2 linked regions of the Caenorhabditis elegans genome follow. The protein of the gene in region 2 purifies or fractionates together with the protein of the main gene of each other region. This does not show direct contact. Each region holds a gene or a part of one and is shown on either strand. Other genes may lie near its edges.

The links.
Region 1: the proteins of D1086.3 (region 2) and gmap-3 fractionate together in Caenorhabditis elegans (co-fractionation; one large-scale study listed by BioGRID). This does not show direct contact.

Annotation. Positions count from the first base shown.
Region 1 is NC_003284.9:12,937,984-12,942,982, forward strand, and holds gmap-3 (GM2 Activator Protein family member), read right to left. Parts: upstream 2,976-4,999; 5' UTR 2,729-2,975; coding exon 2,569-2,728; intron 2,526-2,568; coding exon 2,404-2,525; intron 1,501-2,403; coding exon 1,385-1,500; intron 1,331-1,384; coding exon 1,120-1,330; intron 1,075-1,119; coding exon 943-1,074; intron 887-942; coding exon 767-886; 3' UTR 712-766; downstream 1-711. Other genes in the region: gmap-2 (GM2 Activator Protein family member), read right to left, coding at 3,569-3,755, 3,931-4,007, 4,054-4,170, 4,225-4,324, 4,780-4,919.
Region 2 is NC_003283.11:14,090,824-14,094,486, reverse strand, and holds D1086.3 (T20D4.11-like domain-containing protein), read right to left. Parts: upstream 1,696-3,663; 5' UTR 1,605-1,695; coding exon 1,461-1,604; intron 1,294-1,460; coding exon 1,201-1,293; intron 1,156-1,200; coding exon 871-1,155; intron 737-870; coding exon 674-736; 3' UTR 501-673; downstream 1-500. Other genes in the region: D1086.8 (T20D4.11-like domain-containing protein), read right to left, coding at 130-264; him-5 (High Incidence of Males (increased X chromosome loss)), read right to left, coding at 2,161-2,229, 2,326-2,417, 2,644-2,736, 2,786-3,014, 3,060-3,190, 3,278-3,376, 3,561-3,606.

The sequences.
Region 1 (4,999 bases), on a different chromosome or scaffold from region 2:
ATTGTTATCCATAAAACTTTGCTATCAGAATTGACATTTAGAAATGTTGATCGCTGCGATAGACACTCTTTAGCACATTGTAGCCGCTCATGTGCTCACTGCTAACTGAGCGACTGGGCCTTCCCGATAAGTGCATTAGCAAACTCAGCATGTCTATTAACCGAATGTTCTTTCGGAGCAAGTTCTCGAAGCTCACCGGGTTCCATGGTGTAGCGGTTAGCACTCAGGACTTTGAATCCTGCGACCCGAGTTCAAATCTCGGTGGAACCTATCTTTTTTGGATAAATTTTGATCTTTTCTTGTCCATTGTGTCATTTCTATAGTGAGCGGCACTATGGTTATCAATGAGTTGTAACAAAATCATACATTTTTAGGCTCCATGGAACATTTATATTAACAGTCGGTTTTTAAGTATAGCTCGCAAGATAAAATGTGTAACCCATAATATAATAAAACAGGTTCTTGCTCTGAAAATATTTGACTAATTTAAAAATGTAATACAAAGTAATGGCCGGGTCTCAGTTTTTATACTGTTTAGTTTGAAGTCCATAAAATTGTTTGTGTTGTCAAACTTTTGCCACCCACAGAAATAGCTTCCTTGTTATTTTCTTTGCTGAATTTGATTGTTATAAATCTTCCTTTGCACGTATTATTTCACGTCAACTGTTTCATGGGCCACCAAATCGTATGATTTACAGTCACAAAAAATTTCAAAAAATAATAAATTTATTTACAGACAAGCAAAATTAGGTTAGAAAATCACAAATTATTTACGGTTAACTTTCAAGTTTCCGTAAATCTTATGGCATGCCACGTAGCTTTGTTGGTTTTTGATAATTTGATTGAATGGAAGAGACCAGTAGACTTCAGCCGGAAGTTGAGTGTCCTGTAACATTTTTGAAATACTCTTTTAAAAAGAGAAAAATTCAGCTTGTGATTTACCTTGAAAAAACTGTACTTGGTTCTACGGTATACACCCTCGATTTTGATTTGAGTCGCCATTTGTTTGCTGACGTCAGAGTCAAACACGTAGACTGTAGCAAAGATCCCCATAGCACGAACAGAGTTTCCGTCCTGAAATTTCCAGCCAGTTTTTGCTTTTTTGACCTTTAGACTTACATCACCCTGAATCAGCTGCAAGAATGACTCCTTACTAAGCCCTTGTGAGCTGATGACATCATCAATGTCTGGAAGACAGAAAGCAAGCTTCAAGTTGTCATAGCTGCCTTTTTTCAATCCGTCAGCGCAGCTGATTGGTTGACCATCGAGGAGCAGCTGTGCTCGAACTCCTAATTTGTCACCGAATGTTTCACATGCATTGCAGTACAGGCTGAAAAAAAGATAAATCAATATTGTATGACAACATTAATTAATAGCAACAAACCAAGACCCAAATCCTCCACATCCGTTTTCAGGTTGTCGAACACATTTCTCTGGGACAGTATTTTTTTTGGCAGTGTTCTTCAGCTCAAGATAAATGGAGAAATCTCCGCCAAAGTCCTGAAATAGAGAGTTTCAATTTATTTTTTTATGTAGCTTTATTGTTCATTCAAAGTATATACTTAGAGAGTAATAAGAAGTTGTGATGAATTCTTTATTTCTCAGGGTAAGATAATTTTTAAACTTTTGATACGCTACACAAATACTGAAAAAAAACATTAAGTTTTGAATGATATTGATTTAAAATGTTGTCACGTTGTCACGTTGGCATAAAAAAATTCAATTTGCCCAATAATAATTCAGTAAGGTATAATTTAGTGATTTTTAAATTGTACAGACTACATTTAAAGATACAGATTGTGTTGATGTTCTTAAAAACACGGTCTTAAAGGCGGACTAACGGTTCGGACGATTTTGAACGTATAAATCCGAATTGGGCTGGAATGAATAAATTTTGAAAAAAAATACACTGATTTTCGCTAAAATCTCAATTTTCGGCCACTTTTCCGTGTCGCAGCGGTCCGAAGTTGTCTTTTTTGGAATTATCCTCCTGCATCTTTTGGTAATTTTTTATCATCACATTTCATTGATTTAAACCCGATAGGTAACCAAAAATCATCAAAATTGGTTACCTGTCGGCTTTAAATGTGCCTTAATCAATGAAATTGGATGAGATAAACTACCAAAATATGCAATAAAGGGCGATGATTCCAAAAAAGTCAACTACGTCCCCCGCTGCGACACGGAAAAGTTGCCAAAAATCGAGATTTTAGCTAAAATCAGTGTATTTTTTTTTCAAAATTTTGAACCGCCATAAAAAAATTTTGAAAAATTTATCAGAAGTTTCCTTACGAAACTCGTTTATTTGAGCTCATTTTGGGTTTGAACGTTCAAAATCATCCAAACCGTTAGTCCTCCTTCAAGACACGGAATATTAACAAAACAAAAAGCACAATATTTTACCTCTAGAACTTCTACTTGGCCTCCGATAGTAAAACAGTTTGGCTTATCGGCTTGTGGTTCAAGTTTCGGGCCTCTCCTATCATTTCCAGACTCGAATTCTAACTTCTTTGTCCATTTACCACCTGAAAACCAAATAAGCTTTGGTTTAAAATCTCGTAAACCTACTTTTGCATGGTTGATGTTTGATGAGTTCAAGAGTTACACTCAGATCTTTTCCCAACTCAACGTTTTCCAACGCGTTGGAAATGGAAACGAAAAGACACGATGAAGCTAAGAAAACGACCAACATCTGCGACTGAAACCGATGCGCAAATGAAGGTGTCATGGCTTATGAAGTAAGCGACGAGGACGTGCCCTTCTTTCACACCCCTTTTCAGCTGGATTTTAGAATAGTTTACAGTGACGGTGGGGGTGAAAGGGGAATATAGATATGAATTGTACAAATGTGTAATAAAAGTCTGACAGCCATCAAAACCACTTTTCTCGTTTTTTCTTTCTTTTTCGTGTTACTTTTACCTCAATGTGAAATGATTGTCGGATGGCGTTTCGAGGTCATGAAGGTTATGAGATTCTGAAAAGATGAAGAGATTAAAAGAAAAGGAAAGGGGAAAAAAGTAAAAAAAAAGGAAAATAATGAATCAAAAGCCTTATGTCCTTCAACTAGTAGTGAGAACAAATGCAATAAAGTTTTACAGATGTGTTACATAAATATCACTTTATGATCTCTAACCAACAACATATATAGTTCCAGTTTTCCTTACTATTAGTAACTTTGCAAGATTTTTCTGTAGAATTCGTGTACTGTTGTATACACAAGAATAAAAATTCTAGAAGTAAAGGGTATACAGAATACTTTGAACAAAATCCCAGAAACATTTTGAGGCTAGCAAAATATTGAGGTTGTATTGAATAAAATGCATATTGAAGAAATGTAAAAAAACATACTCAAAAGGATACCAGACAAAACTGTTGTTTTTTACACAACGAGTCTTTGAGCACAGTATCACCATAAAGATTGACTGTTATTTATTAAATGTCAAGATCAATTTGCTTATCTAATTCATAATTTTTATTGTGTTTATTTCATAATTCACAAAAAATGAACCCGCATAAACGAAATGAATAAACATGAAGTTATCATCGTTGTTCATCCAAATATATTTTCTTATTTCTTCTTGGCTTGAATGTCGCTCAAGCTAATGGTTCCGTAAAGTTTGTGACATCCAACGAAAACTGACTGCTTTTTGATAATTTGATTGAATGGCAGATTCCAATAAGTTTGAGAGTCAACTGGCTCATCAGCGCCAAGTTTGCGAAGTTCACGGATGCGAGATTCTAGTTTTCGTTGAGAGCTGAAATTATTTCATTTTTCTATTTGTTTAAAAATTTTCTACTCGTGAAAAATAGTGTTATTTTTCATATAGCTGTAATGTATGTGACATATATGTCTCGAATATAGTGAATGGTTGTTAGATGGTATATGAAACTGTAAATCTGGCTAAAACCTATTTAATTTTCAGAACTTACACTAGAAGAGGTTTAATATCCTTGTCGAACAAATAAACGGTCACAAATAGACTAAGCTTTGGTGGACCATTTCCTTCCTGAAACACACTTTTTCTTTCAATAATTATTTTCATTTTGTCAAACCTGAGTAGTAGCAGCTAAAATGTGATCTAACGCGTCTTCTGAAATTCCCTGCCATTCCAACAATGCAGCTAATTTCGGAAGGCAGAAACGGAGTTCAACATTATCATATTCTCCTTTCTAAAAATAGTGTTATTGACTGCATCGTAAATTTTTTTTAACGATGTTGCTCACTTTTAATGGCTCACATCCTGCTGGTTTGCCGTTCACAACAAGTTGAGCTCCGAGAATTTTCGTGAGAGAGTCCAAAGAATCACATGGCCGGCAGTAGAGACTGAAACAGCAGTGTTTACGTCATTTTTTGGAAACAACAAAACAACAAATTTTCAAGTTCGAAAATTTAAATTTCGTAATCATCGAAATACAACTAAATCTTGTTGTTTGAAGTTATAACATAACGACAAATTATGATAGCGTAGTACGTGGAGAGATGGCCGAGCGGTCTAAGGCGCTGGTTTAAGGCACCAGTCCCTTCGGGGGCGTGGGTTCGAATCCCACTCTCTTCAGTTCTTTTTTTTTAATTTATTTTGCAGGTTAAACACTTATGTATGAAATTGTTATAGTTATACTTTTTGTTTTAAGAGTGACCTCTAACTTAAAACTTTTAGGTACTTCACAGCTGTTCATCTATCATTAACTGCTCAAAAGGCTTTTTTTTCATTTCCTAATGTTTTTTCTAGCTCTAGAATCTTGATGATTTCCCTAATATTTCTGTCAATAACTCATTACCATGATCCAACACCTCCACAACCAGTGTCCGGATTGGCATCCCTGCACACTTCCGGTGGTCTTTGAGTGTCACCAGTGGTCGACACGGACAAGTAGATCAACAACTCGTCGCTCACATCCTCATGAATTTTCACTTTTCCCTAAAGAAAATGAATTATTATTATTATTGTAATAACGTCAATCATCAAGCATTGTTATTGTTTTTCAAAAATCAAAATAA
Region 2 (3,663 bases):
GCTTAAACATCAAAGTCACGCAAGTTGCTATATCATTTTGAAGAGAAATCTCACAGCTTTTCAAGATTTCATTATTCATTTTTGAAAAAGCTCTGCTCTCTAGCGGACAGTTCAATCTATTCGACTCACATTTTTACAGCTCTGTGCAGCTCGTTCTTCATCTGGATCACATACTCGATTCCCAGGGTCTACACCTTCGGCTTCTTCAAGAAATCCATATGACAAGGAGACAAGAAAGAGTATCAATGTTAGAACCCGAAGCATCTGAAATCTGAATATTTCTACGATTTGCTCAGTGAGCTCCACGTAGACTCGTATCAATTGGATATCAAAGCAAGAGAAAAATTGGAGAGATTGAATGAAAAAACCACCGAAGAGAAACACAAATATTTTCTTCTTCTTGATTCATTCTTCCACTCACTGATCTCATTTCTGTCTCATCTTTTTTCTATTTTCCTGCGTCTCTTCGCCTGCTCCAGTTTATCTGTTTTCTGTTCTAATGACCGCGTTAAAAATTTTATTGGTACCTGGAGAGAAACCCTTTGAAGAAATGAAGAATGTAGGAGGGAGGAATGGGTACTCAACCGGAATTTTAAAGACTTTTAAATTAATTATTGCAGTTTTGCAGGGTTACTGTAACAAGGAACAAGAAATCGAAGAACATTTAATGAAGTTAGTTCCATTTTGCTCCAATTGCCTTCTCGCATTCGTTCTCTTTGAACGAGTCTTGAGCAAACTGAAAAATAGAAATTTAGAAAAGTTGGTGGAAATGAAAATGAAAGTTTGAGGCTCTCTAAGCCTAAGCCTAAGCATCTAAGTTTAAGGCCTGCGCCGAAGCCTAAACCGATTTCTAAGACATCATCCGCTTACCTTCTGCCATCCCTGCAACTTATCATCCCCGCACTCTTTCTTAATATGAGCCTTGATACAATCTTTCGAGCCCTTCAAAAATGTGCAAGTGTCCTTTGTCGACTTCTTTGTCTCTGATTTAAAATCTTCCAAACACTTTGCAGCATCCTTATCACTTTTCTTCAATGCCTGCAATTTCTTGCTGCAATCCTTGAACTCGTCCTGGAAAAGAGCACGACCACAGAAGTCGAGAGTCTCCTTGTGATCTTCTTCGAGTGGTTTACATTTCAGCTCTTTAATGCATTCCTGAAACACATTTGAGAAGTTTTTAATATCACTGATGTTACCCACCATGGTGTCTTTGCACGAAGCCTTGACTTTTGAGAGATCCTTGTCTTTGCTCTTTACGAGAGCTTTGAGCTCCTTATCTACTTCATCGCTTCTCTAAAAGTGTTTTTTTTATTAAAATGACGGAAATAGTTCGAAATGCAGCAAGTACAACAAAAAAGGACTACTGTGATAAATCTCCATGTTTGAAATTCCACCAAAATAAGAACTGCATGAGCAATCATGACAATTGAAGCCTGCTTGAACAATTTTATAAAACCCACCTTAACACATTTAGTAGTCTTCAATGAAGTGATAACTCCACAGGATTTCAAATATCTGGCCACTTTTGATTCAGTATCCTTATCAGAACTGGCAGCCAACGCGGAACAAACTAAGAAAACTGATAAAATGATAATAGATTTCATGTTGTTTTCTCGTCGGTTTTTCTTTATCAGACACGTTGCTTTTATATACCAAGTTTAGAGGTCAATTGATATGAATTCAAATGAAAAAAAAACATATGAAAAAGGGTTGGGATCGGGATATTGTAGGTGTGTTTGTGATAAGGATGACGTTCCGAGACCAATTAATTCTACTTTCTGTTCGATTTGTAAACAACGAAATTCTCGTTATCTCGGATTCTGGAAATCTAACATTTACCCTGACCTCGAAAGGACAGGGTTCTCCAAAAATTGTTCACTGGGTCTTTTGCAAGGCCCTGAGAGCGTTTATAAATAGCGGCAATACCACTGACGAGAGGACAGTTATATGCCCGAGTGTCCGGACATCTCGAGGGTTCCGCTCGTCACTATGCTTTACGTGCAAACATGGCACTCGAGTCCCCTAGCCGCAATAAATAAATTTTTTTTTTTATTAACTTGAATATTTGATACAAACATAAACAAAATAAAATGGAACATGAGATCTTATTTTACAGATAATACTGGGGGGATATAAAAACTACTATTATTAAACCACGAATTATTGAGCGCGTTTTTTTGGAATGCGGAATGACCACCAGGCAGGTTTTTCGTGAGGAGTCGGAAAAATCTGAAATATTAACATTTTCATAAAGCTTTATTGATTTAATTTCCGTTGTATAAGGATATTAAAATTTGCAAAAAAAGTTGAAAAAATTCCACATACTTTCTGCTTCTTGCTTCCAGTGATTTCCTGTGACTGTTCAGTGTCCCTGTGTTTTGTTGGCGGTCTTCCACACATTCTACGTGCCGGATTATCTGGAACAAAAACAATTTATCTGAAAATCGGAAAACTAAACTCGATGAAGATTCGGCAGAAAAAAATTCGGAACTACAGTAATCTTTAAAGGCGCACACCCGTTAAACCTGTGCTTAAAACAAGTTTGTCGTGTCTAGACTAAATACCGTATTATTGTAGCCAAAATTGCAAAATTTCGCGAAATTAAATCGTGTCTTTCATTAATGTTGATGTGAGTTTACTTACCACACTGTGAAGTTGGACGATCACTGTTGACAATCACAGAATTTAAAAACTCTAAATCATCGTCGGTGCTTAAATCTTCGTATACTCCTGGTGCTGAAATTTGTAATATATTGGAAAATTGACTTCTCTTGGATTTCCGTACCAAATGCAACTGATTTTTTTGGTTTAGAAGCCACGCTGATTCCTGATCCACTTTTTTTGAGAATTCCAGAATTATTCGACGATTTCTCAATTTGGCAGTTCTTACTCGCATTTTTTTGAGTTTTCTTATTTCCCTTATTGCGTCTATCAGCTTCGTCATTGGAGTCGACAGATTTTTCTCTTTCTTTGGGCTTTGAGGAATACTTGGAGTTAGCTTTCCGGAGCTTTGCCTGGAAAATAATCAGTAAAATTCCATGTTTTTAAAAATTACTAACATAGAAAGGTTCCCTCTTTTTCAAATATTCTCGAAGATTCGAAAAAGCTTCATTCACTACTTCGTCTTGTTCTTTTTGTGGAAGACTCTTGAAACGTGCACCTACTGATCTCTCTGCATTGTCTCGAATTCCTGAAATTAACTATTTAGTTTTTTATTGGAAAACATTGATGTAAAAGCTTTCCTGCAGAAAAATACATAAAATATATTAAAACGAACTGTATCTCGGCAAAAAATATGGGCCATCGGCAATTTTTTTCGATGTATTTCTGTTCTGTGAACGACCGGCGATGCGACCAACTGTTTTTCGTTGTTCATCTGAAAAAAAATCCCAAAAAATGTTCATTTGTAATGTTTAACAATGAATTGGTGTTTATAGAGTTGTTTTCCTCAAAAATAAACATTTATTAAAGTTTTTTTAAATTGTTATTCCGCTTTTAGCATTGAAGCTACTGACGAATTCAAATTTAGCAAGATATAATAGATTAAAAAAATAAATTACCTGTTAATATTATAATATTGTCGTTATTAGAACGAATTCTGGACATTTTCAGCAAAAAAAACCAGATGATAAGTATGCTTTTTCGGGAGAAAAACAGTTTGCT